Oryzias latipes: one gene and its partner. The protein of the gene in region 2 purifies or fractionates together with the protein of the main gene of each other region. This does not show direct contact. Links are inferred from orthologs where the notes say so. Each region holds a gene or a part of one and is shown on either strand. Other genes may lie near its edges. The genes, in order: rap2c and rabggtb.

Evidence for each region.
Region 1: the proteins of rabggtb (region 2) and rap2c purify together in Homo sapiens (co-immunoprecipitation; 3 studies listed by BioGRID and IntAct, counting the BioPlex papers as one, with this or other methods). This does not show direct contact. The link is inferred for Oryzias latipes from reciprocal best matches to the Homo sapiens genes RABGGTB and RAP2C.

The regions. Positions count from the first base shown.
Region 1 is NC_019868.2:11,792,547-11,800,701, forward strand, and holds rap2c (ras-related protein Rap-2c), read right to left. Parts: upstream 5,121-8,155; 5' UTR 4,415-5,120; coding exon 4,142-4,414; intron 3,364-4,141; coding exon 3,085-3,363; 3' UTR 3,078-3,084; intron 2,827-3,077; 3' UTR 1,529-2,826; downstream 1-1,528. UniProt on the Homo sapiens protein: Small GTP-binding protein which cycles between a GDP-bound inactive and a GTP-bound active form. May play a role in cytoskeletal rearrangements and regulate cell spreading through activation of the effector TNIK.
Region 2 is NC_019875.2:3,785,645-3,793,473, reverse strand, and holds the start of rabggtb (geranylgeranyl transferase type-2 subunit beta), read right to left. Parts: upstream 4,588-7,829; 5' UTR 4,475-4,587; coding exon 4,472-4,474; intron 4,172-4,471; coding exon 4,064-4,171; intron 3,732-4,063; coding exon 3,534-3,731; intron 3,365-3,533; coding exon 3,259-3,364; intron 1,932-3,258; coding exon 1,879-1,931; intron 1,794-1,878; coding exon 1,683-1,793; intron 1,449-1,682; coding exon 1,323-1,448; intron 190-1,322; coding exon 40-189; intron 1-39. Other genes in the region: acadm (medium-chain specific acyl-CoA dehydrogenase, mitochondrial), read right to left, coding at 6,223-6,294, 6,377-6,625, 6,737-6,832. UniProt on the Homo sapiens protein: Catalyzes the transfer of a geranylgeranyl moiety from geranylgeranyl diphosphate to both cysteines of Rab proteins with the C-terminal sequence -XXCC, -XCXC and -CCXX, such as RAB1A, RAB3A, RAB5A and RAB7A.

The DNA of each region.
Region 1 (8,155 bases), on a different chromosome or scaffold from region 2:
ACACAAACATTTTCAGTAAGACATTTAAAAAATAAAAGCAAACAATTTGTCAAGTTTACAGCAGAGATTTAACATTGTTTTGAAGAAACCCCATGATCAATTCCACTATAATGGCATCATGTCGTCCTAACTGAAGACAAATCTTCCTAAGTCTGATTGATAAAGAGGAGTCTTCCTCAGAAAGCTGTGAGACAAACATGCAGTTTTGCGGCAGAAAGGCGCAGATGAGTGGGCATGCAAAACAAAGACTTCCTGGAGCTGGTGCATGTGGGCGTAGACAGAGCTTCGCACTTCAGCTCCCAGTAAATGCATCGTCAGTCATGTTCTCAGTTAATGCAACAGAAAAAGGTGGGAACTTACCTTCAACAGATGCTTCCTCGATGTAAACATATTCACCGGGCGGTTGTTTTAAATATGTTCACTTTTTTATTTTTGAGGGCTTCACTGTTTATATTTTCCTATGCTTCCACGCTGTTTTTCCAGGGTTGTTGTTCAGCAAATATGAGCAAATTTAGCAGATGCTTTTATCAAAAGCCACCTCCAGGCCTCAGTTTGTCCAAACTGAAGGCAACCTGTAGGTCAGAGATCTTGCCCAAGGGTACAACGACTTTCAAGCTTAGAATTTGACCCCTCAGCTAATTGGCAGACACACAGTCTTATATACAAGACTTACTCAATGGTTTTAGTCTTCAGGGTTGACGCTGTCGCTTTGCTTCCCTATTTTGTTTCATAACAGCACTGGAAAATATGCAGGTGACTAAATTAGAAAACAAGAACACAAACTAGGGCTCACTTTGGTGCAGTGGTTCGCCCACACAGCGAAAGACCCACTCCCATGAAAATTGTGTTACGTTAAAAAGTCCATGTTAAAGTTGTGTTTTTTTACATGGCATTTTTCTCATTGTGGAAGGCTTATAAAAAACAAAATTAAGCTCAAAATTTCATCTCTTTTTTAAATCTGGGGCAAAAAAAAAAATTTGTATTTATGACGTAGACTATATCCTGGCGGGCCACAAGCTCCTTGCTCTGCTCTAGTCTGATGCATTCGCCTGTAGACAATCATGTTTTCCTCGTCTGAGCTGAAATCTGGCTTAAACTGTACGGCTGGATAGCTCCAACATTGCTCAACATTTTTGTTGCACGGCTACTGTTAGGTTTGGGTTGTGAGGGGCTGTAAGCTAACAAGAGTGTAAACAGGAAAGGGGGGCAGGTTTACTCCACACCAACAGTCTCACCCACAACTCAGAGCTAATTTCTAATAAACTCCTGCTGCTCTGCAGAAAATATGTCTAAGAGAACAGTTGTTTTTGTGGCTAAAAACTGCATAATCATAATTCAAAGACCACTTGGAACACTTTTACAACAGATCGAAAGATGATTGGAGTGGGACTTTAAATAAATGTGTTGTTGACATGAGATTTAAATTAAAGTTTAACCAGCTTTGTGACACTTGTGTAAAACCTGAGTTGAGTTTGGTTTCATTGAAAGGTAGTACTGTATGTATCACAAAAGCAGAAAGTCCAGCATCTTTTATTCTGAAATGATGAAAGATGTTTATTTTTAAATGAAAGAAAAGAAAAAAATACAAGACACCCAGGTGCAACCAAAATTTTAAGGCTTTGTTAAATTCCCAGATTTATAGATCTATACAAAAACAAAATAAAAGACACCCAAACTTATTTTCTGAAAACTCAGAAATCCAAAGCTAGGGTAAAAATTCTAATTTTAAAACTGGCTATGGATGTCATAAGATTTAATAAATAGATTACCATCATAGAATCAAAAGTACAAAGTTGAATTTGATTAATTATGCCAGAACTTTAACCAACCCACTGAAACCGGAATTAGCAGATAATAATAATCATATATATGTATATATATAAAAAAAATCTGCAGCTCCGGAATTTAAAGCAACACGTTACATCATTAGACACAATAAAAGCAGGAACATTGTTTACTTTGGTCGCTCCAAAATCTACAGACTTCTCGATAAAACGGAAAATGGAAGACCTGCGTCCACTTAGACCATGCCTTTAAGAGACAGTGACGATTCTGGCAAAACACAGAAATTGGCTCAACCCAGTCACTTCAAGTTAGTTTACATTTTGGAAACAGTTTCACCTCAGCGCACATGTTGTCAAATCGATAGAGGTGCTGTAAATACTGACACAATAAAAAAAGATGGAGTTCCTCTTAGATGTAAATGTTACTGGCTTAATCCAAAGTCACACACCATGTATACGCTTACAAAAATCAGAAGATTCCCATTTAAAAACAAACGTTTTTCAGAAGAAGGTAGCAGAACACCTGAGCAGCACACTAGTTTAGGTATGCACGCTAAATTCAAAATGCTTCAAAAGGTATGAAACACTTGATCAAATCTCTAATCGGAGCCAGAATACAAGTAAAATCAAAGGGTAACATAATTAATGCAGTTAAAAAAACAAAAAAGATGCTGCAACCCCTTACGTCCTCCTGCACCATACTTAAAGGACACGTCAATATATAAGGAGGAGAATCAAAAAACAGTGAGACAGGAATTCACAGAGGGGCTGCCCATCCAGTTGTGTCTGTCCAATCCCAGGTTCATCTCAAAGGCCATTGAGGTTACAGCTGAAGCATCTTCTAGCAGGTATGATATCAAAAATAGGACCAGGTTCTTAGTCAGATTCTCTGTCACGGTCAAAAAAAACAAAACCTTTTTTTCCACAGACCGTGAGGCGACAGCACTGCCTGATGGGACAAGTTTTCGTCAGACAGGTAAAAAGCCAAGCTGTCCCCGTGTTCATCAAAATGCGCGTGGCGATCCAGGCCAATGAAGTCCATCTTTTAGAGCAGAAACACATGTGGGAGAGAGGGATATAAAAAAACAATTTACATGTAAACCACACAGACAACACCTCCAGCAGAGTTTAAAGTGAGCTTCCTATTTGGGGTCCTATTCCTCTTTCAGAATGTGACATTTTCCTCCCTGAAGCCGCTCCAATTTTTTTTTTCATACGCTGTCTTTTTCCTATCAGCTTTTATTCAAGCTTAACATGCATTTATGATGCAGGCAGATTCAGAGAAGCCCTTACCTCTTCCTCACTGAATCACACAGGCCGTGCAGCACTGCTCCTGCTTCTCTGGCAGCGTGGAGTAATTCATCTGTCGGACAATCTCTGCAAACAGCTCGTCCACCATAGTTTTGCTTTTGGCAGAGGTTTCGATGAAAGGGCAGCCCCACTCTTGAGCAAGGGCTCGCCCCTCGGATCCAGCAACTTCACGCTCAGACTCCAGGTCCACTTTGTTACCAACCAGAATCAACGGCACCTTCTCAAAGCGCTTCACACGGACTATTTGGTCTCGCATTGGTCTGATGTCCTGAAAGATGGACATGCAATTATAGTTCTTAAAGCCCTTGAGTTGAGAGATGAACAAGTATTTGTATTAAAAACGGACAAGAAAACAATCAAATGCCCACAGTTTGTGTTTTTGTAGAGATTAATGTCTACTTTGACTTTATAGCCTATTTTAGTTCGTCCAGCAAACAAAAATTTTTCCAAGCATTATTTTCAAACAGAAAACAATAAATCAGAAATAAAAAAAGGAACAATGAAAACTTCTGACAGTGAATTCCTTGTGCTTGTGACAACATGTTGCGCAAATTCTAGTCAATGCATAACAATTAGAGGTGTGACGATAAACCGACTTAATCAATGAATCGATACATAGTTCTACAACCCAACCAGGTCAGTCTGTCTGAGGCAAGTTGTTAATTCAGCCGACCAATACCATTAAAAAGTAGTTTCAAAATGAGATAATCAGTGTGTTAGAATGCATGTTCTGTTTGTATCATCTTGACGTGGAGAAACGACAGTGGGCTGAACATTGACACTAAAATGTGAATGGATTTAACATTCATTTTTGTTTACTTGTTTGTTCACATATTTAATTTACACGTAATTATCTTGAAGTAGTACAAGGACTGAGGAAAACTTCACCTGTCCTGTTCAGTACCAGGTATATTTATCTCTGAGTCACACTGGTTGGATTTTTGGCAACAGATGTCCTGGATTGAAACGCTTTGTTCAACTTTAACACTGTGATAAAGTTTGAGTTTGCCTCAAGTTTCCATTCATGTTGTCCTCCCTTTATTTACCTGGAATGACTGCTGGTTGACCAGGCTGTAGACCAGAATGAAGCCTTGTCCGTTCTTGATGTACAGGTCTCTCATGGAAGCAAACTGCTCGGTCCCCGCCGTGTCCAGGATCTCCAACACGGAGGGCGATGAATCCACTTCGATCTCCTTACGGTAGAAGTCCTCGATGGTCGGGTCGTACTTCTCGATGAAGGTCCCAGTAACAAACTGGACGGTGAGCGCGGACTTTCCCACGCCGCCGCTGCCCAGCACAACAACTTTGTATTCTTTCATTGGGGCGGTGGAGACTTGCTAACTTAGCAGCTAACGTCGTAGCTTTCGATCTATACTCTCTCCAAAAAACATTTAAAGCGGCATTAACAAAGAAGAGCCAACTTGTTGTTGACTTCAAATTTGAGGCATTAAAAGAACCACATAAGCTAAAGCCTGGCAGTCATTCTTATTTCCAGATTTGGTCTGGTCTAAACAGGCGAGTGAAAAGTTGGTAACTCTGAAGTTAGCTTGCTCTCACACTAGCTCGTTCCTGGCTAAATTCCAGCGGTGCCATTCCCGAGCTTCAAGCTATTTGCACTCGGACCCGATGCACCACGAGAGCGCTTTGACTCACATAAGAGTCCTGAAACGGATTTGGCGTCCATCAACAGACACCAGGTTGAGTTGTTGCACACAGAGGCTTCTCTAGACACAGCATGCCACCTCCTTCCGATCAGCCCGCCGGTGTCAGAGCCCTGCTGGGCTAGTCAAGTCCGGGTTCGGGCCTTGTTCTGGTACCGGTCCAGCCCTCGCCTCGATTGCCGAGTGTTATAAACGCAGATGAGGCACGAACACCTGCCACTTCTTCGGCCTTTGTGTTTTTCCGTGAATTTGAGTCGTTGCAGGACAGGTTTTGTTGGCAGAAAGAAATTTTTTTTCTTCACTAAACTGGTTTCCTGAAGCTAACAAACTGCTTCCGCTAACGAGTACGAGACTTCCTGCATGCCTCCCTTCAGAATAAAAGCATGTCTTTCCAACCCCGCAAATCTTTTCTAAAGGCCCGTGTAAAACAACCATTGTCAGCCATTTTGCAAGTAATTTAGATTCTTTACTGTGTCTGAATTAGGTGGCAAAGGCCAAACAGAAAGCTCACGATGAGCTATATGACAGGTTAGACACAAAGGAAGGAGAGAAGGACTTGTACAGGCTAGCCAGACAGAGACAGAGATGGGAAGGACGTGCAACAGATAAGGGGGATTAAGGACAGAGATGGAAATGTGCTAACAACCCAGGAGAGTGTACAGAAAAGATGGAAGGAGTATTTTGAGGAGCTGATGAACGGGGAAAATGACAGGGAAAGAAGGGAGGAAGATGTGGTTGTTGTGGAGCAGGAAGTAGCAGAGATGGGAAAGGATGAGGTTAGGAAGGCTCTGAAAAGGATGAAGAGCGGAAAGGCCGTTGGTCCTGATGATGTACCTGTGGAGGTATGGAAGTGCTTAGGAGAGACAGCAGTGGAATTTCTAACGAGTTTGTTCAATAGGATTATGCCCTGTAAGAGCACCACTGATGCCATTTTTGCTTTGAGAATGTTGATGGAAAAGTACAGAGAAGGTCAGAAGGAGCTGCATTGTGTGTTCGTAGATTTAGAGAAGGCGTATGACAGGGTGCCGAGGGAGGAGCTGTGGTACTGTATGAGGTCGTCTGGAGTGGCAGAGAAGTATGTCAGAGTAGTTTAGGACATGTATGAGAGAAGTATGAGGGTGGTGAGATGTGCTGTAGGTCAGACAGAGGAGTTCAAGGTGGAGGTGGGACTACACCAAGGATCAGCTTTGAGTCCCTTTTTGTTTGCTATGTTGATGGACAGGCTGACAGACGAGGTAAGACAGGAATCTCCCTGGACAATGATGTTTGCGGATGACATTGTAATTTGCAGTGAGAGTAGAGAGCAGGTGGAGGAACAGCTAGAGAGGTGGAGGTTTGCTCTGGAAAGAAGAGGCATGAAGGTCAGTCGTAGTAAGACAGAATACATGTGTCTGAACGAGAGGGATCAAGGTAGAAGCGTTAGGTTACAGGGGACTGAGGTGAAGAAGGTGCAGGAGTTTAAGTACTTGGGGTCAACAGTTCAGTGTGATGGGGAGTGTGGAAAAGAGGTGAAGAGGCGAGTGCAGGCAGGTTGGAGCGGTTGGAGGAAAGTGTCAGGAGTGTTGTGTGACAGAAGAGTGTCAGCAAGACTCAAAGGAAAGGTGTACAAGACAGTGGTGAGACCAGCTCTGCTCTATGGGTTAGAGACGGTAGCAGTGAGACAGAGACAAGAGGCTGAGATGGAGGTAGCGGAGATGAAGATGTTGAGGTTCTCCTTAGGAGTGACCAGGTTAGACAGGATAAGGAACGAGTACATCAGAGGGACGGCTCATGTTGCCTGTGTTAGCGACAAAGTCAGAGAAGCCAGACTGAGATGGTTTGGACATGTTCAGAGGAGGGATAGTGGATATATTGGTAGAAGGATGTTGGAGATGGAGCTGCCTGGCAGGAGGGCAAGAGGACGGCCAAAGAGGAGATATATGGATGTCTTAACAGAGGACATGAAGTTGGCTAATGTTAGGGTAGAAGATGTTCATGATAGAGTGAGGTGGAAAACGATGATTCGCTGTGGCGACCCCTGATGGGAAAAGCCGAAAGAGAAAGAAGACTGTGTCTGAATTAGGACATTTGTATGAATTGCATTCACAAGACAACTTCAGAGAAAATACAACCACTTATGTGAACAACGATCTATTGATCAGTTGCAACCAGATAAAAATAATTTGGACTGATTCACAATTGGTTGTCACTTAAAGTTTTAAATATTCCCTTTTTTTCTTTACTTGATGTTCTCTTATTTATGGAAAATCTGGACCCGGGAATTTCTGATGTCATCAATGTTGTTATTATTTTATGCAAACATTTCATTCATTTATGTAAATGGAAAAATGCATGTCCTTTGTTTAGTATTTTTTTAAAATTATTTTTCTGATTTTTATAAGTGTCTTAAATGCATTTCAAACAAAAACAAGAAACTACAGTAATTTATCAAAATATTTCAAAAGTATAGTTATTTTGAATTGTTTTTTGCCTTTATAACGTTTGTTCACCCTAACTTGGTTTGTATATGAGCATTACAAAAAAAGACACACACAGGGCTTATTACTATTATTGTTGTTTGGTCTTATGTGTGTTTGATATTAACAATTGTTTTTTTATTTTGCAACGTAATGTGAATTTCTGTAAATTGAAAAATGTGCAATAAAGTTTATTGAAAAAAAACAAAAACGATCTATTGATTTATTAAATTGGCATAACCTTCTTAAGAAGACAATTTAACAATTGTAAATACACCAATCTCCTAGTTACCATAATAATTTATTTTTCCATTAATATGCTTTTAATAAACTTACTTAACAGTCTAATTATTTTGCTAGTCTTTTCAATGTTAGATGGATTTGCTCATACTGTAAACAGTTTCTCTCAACTAATTTTCCAGTTAAAAAAATAACTAGAGAATGACATCATTAGCTAAATTTTGATCTGGGAACAGCTACAATTTTGTTCTATATAAATATCTGCAGGTGTGTGTGCACATTCATGGATTTTATGAACATGAACATACTTTGACCACTTTGCGTTTGTTTTCAAGAAATGTGATGGCATGTAGATTATGCATTTAGTAACAGAATACTATAATTTATATTCTATAATAAATAAAATATCCTTAGATCTCAATATTAGATGTTCCAAAGTTTTGTCTGTTGGTTCTTTAGCTATTCACCATTCAGTCTCCATCACATTTTTTAAGTCAAACATGTGTATTCATTTGTCGTCTAATTAATGCACTTATCAAAATAGCAACTTTACTGTGGACAAAATGCTCCACACATGTTGTGTTTGAAATTATATTGATAAAAAAACAAAAAAAAAACAATTACAGCTAATAATAATTACCACATGTAGTGAAAACATACCTTAGGTGGTGCCTTTCAACAAAAAAAAAGCAACACATATTTA
Region 2 (7,829 bases):
GGATAGCTTCTTCTTCTTCTTATGTGTGTGATAGCTCACCATGTCTCCTGGTCTGTCAGCAAAACCTCCCGTCTCCTCATCCTGACAGGCCAGAATAAACTGGCGTAGTCTGGACTTGTCGATCCAGTGGATCCTACCGATGATTTTCAGAGATGCCAAAACCCACCAGGAGTAGCAGACATCTGGAAGCTGCAAAGACAGATGGCTTTGAGACCAGGAGTGCAAAACATTCACAGCTTCAGCCGTCTGCCAGTAGTACATAAAAGAAAAAGAAAAAAACGGCGAGCAAACTTGATGTTTGGCCTTAAAGCGGCAAAAGGCCTTCATCTCTTTCCTCCACAGAATGCGAGTGTTTGAGGAATCTCTGTTCTTCTTCTCTGTCTTCCACTCAAACCACAACATCACAAAATTCAGGATCTCACAGCTATTTCAGTGATTATTGCAGCACAAAAATCCTGAAGCCGCCGCTAGTTTTTGCCTTCAAAGTTGTGATCAAAGTTGCTACACTTTTCAAACTAAAGGGATGGCACACAAATTCTAAAGCTGTTTTATTTTCCAAGGGCAGCTTTATGCACCGTCACAGGAAATGCTCCACACTGATGAAAGTCCTTCTTCATCAGGGATTTCTTTACAATGATATCTTTTTTTGTCCTTGTTTGTTCAAGAGTGTTTGTCAAACCTGAACAATGGAATAACAGCAGCATGCTTAGCAAACTTCACACAAAAACATTATCTTTTCGTTAAAACGTTACATTTTAACTAAAGAATAAAAAGCTGACTCAGTGATGCTTTGAAAACCTTTTCCTTTCTGTCCGATAACATTAAATGTGCTCATTTCACCCCCAAAACCTGGACTCTAGATTTCTTTAAACCCACACACAGTAAATTGTGAAATTTTGATGGTGAAACTTGTTCAAAATGAGAGCAGCTGGACCGAGTCGGAGGCAGTTGATCGGAAGACCCGGAAAATTCTGGAGGGGCTGATATTTGAAGCCAACCCAGAAATGTTGTTACAGCAAGTACCACATGTTCTGTTTCTTTCTCACTTAATTCATAGGAACCCATGGAACCCATGGTGACATCAGTGTCACAGACAAACAGCAGAAACGTGTTCTGTGATCCACCACACTTCACTTTCCTTTTTAGGGAAAAAGGGGAATGACAGGAAATGTGTACACAAACACATTTTTCAGAACGCCGGCAGGTTTCTGAGGGCTGGTCCTCATGGGAAAAAGAGTTCAATGATCTTCTTCAACAGCACTAAGGTTTGGTTCACGAGGAAACTAAAAAGATTTGTGATTTCATGTTAGAAGCTGTCAAACCTTCTCAGGCCTTCCGTTGAGGCCTCCAGACGGCAGCTGGCGTTCGCAGAGCCACCAGCCCAGCAGGTCTGCGTTCAGCTGGTGCAGCTGGCCGGTGAGAGACAAGAACCCGGTGCAGCAGTAGATCTGAGACCAGAACCAGAACAGGTTTAGACTTTTGAAACACAACTGAGGCTTGAAGAGAAACACATAACAGTCCAGCATGAAAACTTTTCCTCCTGAGAACGCCTCCGCTTCTTAATCAGACCTCTGAGTTATGACGTGAGGTGGTGGAAGAAGGCCTGATTTGGTATTTTATTTGGACTAAAAAGTGAGGCTTTGCTTATTATTTCATAGAGAAATGACTCTTTAGTTCCTCACCTGCCCAGCGTGAGACTCTGAACCAGGTCTGCAGCCAAAACCGCCGTCAAAGTTCATGCAGGATAAGACGAACTCCACAGCTCTGTCAACATTTATCATCTCCATCTTTCCCTTCAAAGAACAGCATTAGTGTGAAAGGCAGTTTAGAGATTGGTGGGCTTTGGGATGAAAAACTGTGAACAAATAAAAAACATACCAGTAATGCAAGTGTGGCAACAGCACAGAAAGAAAACCGGGTGTCTATTTCTCCTGTAAACACAAAACAAAGAAAGAGAGAAATTCTCATTATAGTGAACAATTAAGACGTCTGTTTTTAATGTTAATAACAAAATGACCCTGAAACGTCACTTTTTTGGCTAAACTGTGGGCAGAAAAGCAGCTTAAAAACAGTTTCAAGTGTTTCAGACTTCAATGAGAAAAAAGAAACTTTACAGAGATGATCGGCATCAAACACATCCTAAAGTCCTCCTTTTTATAACGTTTCTACCAAGAAGAATTTCTGATAAAAACTAAAGAGCCAAACGTCTGGAAACCTCGAGATCTGTGCTCCTATAAGACTTCCACGCCTAGGGGGCATTTGCACAAACTCAATTACCTCCAAGCAGATAGAACCGTGAAAAAAAGAAACTCTGACGGGTGAAGTTTTATCAGTTTTTTCTTCTCTCTATAAAAAGATTTAAGTTTTTTTGTGTGGGTTTTTTCTTTAAATTTTTCACTAAACTTGATTTAATTCTATAAACTAAGGTAGCATGTATTAGTTATTTAAATAAATAAGATATTGAATAGCATACCAACACTTTCATCCATTTCTGCTGTTTTTATTTATTTTGTTTTTAATTTCTGTGAAACCATTTGTGCTAGACGTGCTCTGGTTCAGCTGTACATGAAGTTTTTGGACTGTTGTGTCCTCTGAAACATTCCTTCTATGACGATCTTGGAGCATCTGTTCATGATCAGCCTTTTTTTAACAATTAAGCAGCATGAAGCTTTGAATTTCAGTGTTTTAATGTTTCTTACATCTTACTCTGTGATGTAATCAGTAATAACTCATAAAACTGGAATAAAATGATGTGTGACCTGTGTGTCTTTTACTTATTACAAGATGTGACATTTGCATTGTTCCACTTTAAAGTTCATTCATTCATTTTCTTTTGTTTATCCCTTTTGGGGTCACGGGGCTGCTGGAGCCTATCCCGGCCACTTATGGGCGAGGGAAGGGGACACCCTGGACAGGTCACCAGTCTGTCGCAGGGTCACACATAATCACACACCCATGCACTCTCACATTCACACCTATGGACAATTTGGATGGACCAATTAAGCTATGAAGCACATGTTTTTAGACGGAGGAAGCCGGAGACCCTGGAGAGAACCCACGCATGTACGGGGAGAACATGCAAACTCCACACAGAAAGGACCCCCATTGATGTTCTGTTTCAGGTCGCCCAGCCGGGACTTGAACCAAGGGCCTTCTTGCTGTGAGGCACGAGCGCTAACCACTGCGCCACCGTGCAGCCCCACTTTAAAGTAATGTATAAAAAACACATGTAAATGGACAAAAACAAAGTTTTCTCACCCCATTTGTCTCCTGCAAAAGAGCCGTCTTCCTGCTGAAGCCCCTTCACATATTCCACGACTTTGTCCACATCGATGGCATGCAGGCTGTCATAAAGGCATAAGATCTAAAGGAGGGATTTGACATTTAAAGCATTTATACTGAAGGATTCAGTAGAGAGAAGTAAAGATGCTTAACTTTGTATTTCTTTGTGTTATCAATTACATTTTGTGTGGCCAAATGAGTTTGTAGAGTAAAGCCAACTTAAGAGACTCAATGATTTCTGAGCTTGTCACCTGGACAGCGCTGAGGGTGTAGAGCAGGTGAGGGTCGTGTCCGATGCTGGCGCTGAAGCCTCCGCAGTCGTGCTGGCAGGCTTTGATAAAATCTATGATTTCCTGCAGGTTCATTCTGTCCAGCTGGCCCATCAAGTCCATCACCGTCAAGCCCCAGTAGATCCCGCTCATCCTGAGGTACTCCGACAGGGTGTACTCCTGAGAACACACGACACACCGTCACGTCAGCAGCAAATACACTGGAGATACTGACACGTGGAAACTATTTGCACCAATTGAATCCAAGCTAAATCTTTGTTTTTAAGACTATTGATCAGAAGCAAAAGGTCTCATCATTTGTTTACAGTTGTTCATCAGTTTTTCCCTCATCTTTTGGGGAAATGGTTTTCTAGCCACTGGTGTTTGATGACGTAAGTCACATCCGGTTAAATAAATATATCAGACACACAACATTCTCACAACTTTTAAATATGTCTGTAAACTGCTGGTCCAGCTGATGTTCTGCCTTAGATCGCAGCAGCTTGACTTACATAGTCGTCCTTCTTGGAGCCGTAGGCAGCGATGTAGTCTGCATGTTTGTCCAGCAGCAGCGAGCTGGGAGCGTCCGGCTTCAGAATGACGTCTTTGATTTGAGTTCCCTGACCAGAGCCAGTCACGAGACAAGTTAGACAAAGAAACACATCACTCTGCCATTCAACGTCAAAAGAAACTTGTTTTGTGAACATTAATTAACAGATGAACGTAGATCTCTAAACAGCTTATTTAGGTTGCTAGATGCTATCGCTAAAGCTAACATCTTCTCAACTAACTGCTTTTTACGTAATAACTATAATTGTAGTGTTTAATTTAGTATAAAATACGCGTCCTTAGGATTGTGCACTGATTATGGAATAATAATGCAAAAAGCCTCTGCAGCTTTAGAAAAAATGTCAGATTACCATTCTGACATTATATCCTGCCAGGAGAAACTTCCGTCGTCTCTTCTTCTTCTTCGTTTCACCATAAACTCCCTCTAGTGGTTGGAGCTATACTGCCCCCTCTGGTCATCTGTGGTTTAACAACTGTGACCATTTTTTCCCCCTTTTTTTGTCCATCTTTATTGGGGAAGTTACGTTTAAAGTTTTTTCAACTAATAATTTACCAATTGAGAATTCACTATTAGTTTGAATTGTAGGTGAAACAACGTTTAAGCTACAAAGATTTCTACAAACATTTGATCTGGTTTTTCTTGATGTTGACATAAAACCGCGTGGAAAACAGTGTTTTCATTGAAATTCTCACATAAAGGTGACTGCAAAATGCTGTCCAAATATTTTTTTAAACCTTTCTTATCCCTTGTGCTATCCTAGGCACTTTTACATCGTGAGTTGGGTCATCTAGACCCACTAGACAGTGCTCTGAACCTTTTTTCTTCAATGATTTGTGGTGCCGATCCATGGTGTCCATGGATTACATGAAATCTTTCCACCTTTATCATGGTAGGGAGAACCCATCAATGTAAGGGGGGGGGGGGATCATCCAAGATGGCACAAGGGTTATAGGTGTTCTTTTGAAAATGGGAGTGTTAGGAAATAGTAATATATTAATAAAAAGATTAAACATAAAAAGCTACAAGTGGTCTCCATATTTCCAGGAAAATTGGCCTCCGTTTGACATAGGGGCTCCTGTCTTGAGCGACAAACATTTCCACGATTATCTTTTGTCATTTTCAACTAAAATATTATTTTTCTTTTAATTACAGTCCCATCACCATAAGGCTCCCAGCCTCTAACCATTTGGCAGGGTGGTAAACAGGACATAGGAATACAAAATAAAAATAACACAATCATGACTTTAAATCTGCCCTTTTACTGTAAGACATTTTTCATTCAAAGTTAAAAATACGTATATGTAGTACAACAAACACCAGAAACAGTTTCATTTCTTTAATTCATTGTTCTTATTTAAACCATTGTGTTGACGAATGGATGAAAAAATTTAAATAAAAAGAGGCACAAACTGAATGATAATAAATTGCTTTACAGAGAGCCAACATGCCGCACTTCCTCCAACACTTCCAGCCTTAAAATCTGCAGTACAGAAGTACAAAAATGTTGCTTTTCAGCTCAACATTTCTTGGCATTAATAATAAAATCGAGCAGAAAATCTTTTTAGGCACCAGCTGGAAGAGATGAGCAGCTCTCTACACATTCTAGTGAAAGCAGGATTCACCTTAACGGTTATTTTACAAAATCAACATTTAAAATGAGTCCAGAATGAGGGAAAACAGGGTTAGTTATTCGAGATTTTACTGCAGTAAAGATGAAAAGATACAGTCTGAAGTAATGCCTCGTTTAAAATCTACACAACAGATGTTCACTGCAAACTTTGATACTTTTAGCTCTCTTAGCTTAGTGTGGGATTCGACATGCAAACAATCTTTGAAGCAGGTTTTTCCTTCTGTGATTGACAGGAACACTTTTCTGTTCCTCTGCAGGGACTGCGACCTGCTGAGATCTACTGGACGGGAAAAGACAAAATCCTTACAGGACAGAAACTAAGTTAGCGTGGATTCAAGAGCTGTGTTACGTTGACCAAACAACGCATGAATCGACGTCAAGGCAAACCACTGAGCTGCGTCCTGACGTTTACAGTCTGAACAGTAAGATTGTGCACAGAAAAGCAGAGAGGAGCACATGGACCTGTGGGCTCATTTCTTATATTTTCCAAAGTGCTCTCTGGAAATGATCAGCCTTTGGATCTGAGCCGTGCCTTCATAGATCTGCGAAGAAAAAAGCAAAACCATTAAAAATCTGACCACAAAATTCCTCCTGATAGTGACGTCAGACAACAGGCAGAGTAACCTGGTAGATCTTTGCATCCCTCATCAGCTTCTCCACTGGGTATTCACTGTTGAAGCCGTTGCCTCCAAAAACTTGGACGGCATCCGTGGCCACCTGGTTGGCGATGTCTCCGGCAAAGGCCTTGGCGATGGAGGCGTAGTACGTGTTTCGGCGGCCCTGGTCCACCTCCCACGCGGAGCGCTGGTAAGCCATCCTGGCCAGTTCCACCTTCATGGCCATCTCAGCCAGGATAAACGACACAGCCTGATGCTGGGAAACCCAAGCACAGCTTAAAGATCCTCTACTTGTCAGATAACTTACGAGTATTTTGTTTTAACAACACAAAAAAGTGTTTAAAGCTTCCATTTGGGGGCAACTAACCTCAGCAATAGCTTTGCCAAAGGTCTTCCTCTCCAGAGCGTAGTTGGTGGCTTCATCCAGAGCCCTCTGAGCCAGGCCCGTTGCTCCTGCTGCCACCTGGTGGATTCAGACACTTTTGATCCGACTTTCAGGGAAAACTGTAATCATGCTTCAATTTGGACTGAACGTGGGAACCAAAATGCCCTTTTAAGTGAAGAACATCTCTCTTTCTTCCCTACAGTCTGACTCCATAATCCTTTTAACTTGAGGATAAATGATTCACGTTAGGTTGGTTGAAGCAGGATCTAGTTGTGTTGGAGGGAAAACTCCAACTACTTTTGTTGATCAAAACTACCCTAAAAACGGAGGTGAAAGGTCGGAACAGTCTGAGCTACATTAACGCCTGCTATCATGCTAGGTTGGTCTAAGTTTTGACTTTTTACATGGAGTCAGTGTTGGAAATTGCATCAAAGTATATCATTTATTTATTTACTTAATCTTTATTTACCAAGTAAATAAGACAATTCCCAAACTAAAGACACCCTCAAACTGCAATTATCCTTGTGACAAAATGATCAACAAAAAAGATTTTATGGTAAAAACAGAATTCTCTGTGTTTAAGCTGTGGCTTTAGATCAGTGTTTTTCAACCTTTTTTGAGCCATGGCACAATTTAACCTTGACAAAAATACCGCGGCACACCAGCATCCAAAATTTAAAAAAAAAAAAGGAGAAACTCAGTCTGTATTGATCTACAGTCCCTCCGCAATCTCACATGTATTTTTATGATAATTGTGGCAGAAAAAGCTGGAAGCTGCAGCTTTTTTTTTCTGATAGATGTGGTAAAAGTTTAGTTAGAAGATTTCAAAACTGTTTGATGCGTGTTCGTTTTGGTTTCAAGACATTTAAGGAAAGACTTATTGTGCACTGAAATTGCTAACACAATGCATCATGGGAAATGTAGTGCAAACAGCCGCCAAATGCAGACAGACTAGCGTCTCTGAGCTTCATGGTTTTGTTCACCTTTTTCACGGTCTGACACTGGATCCCACGGAAAGCTACACTGCTAAAGACGAGCTTTAGCTGCTATTTTTGTTGGAACTGAGGGACTTTAT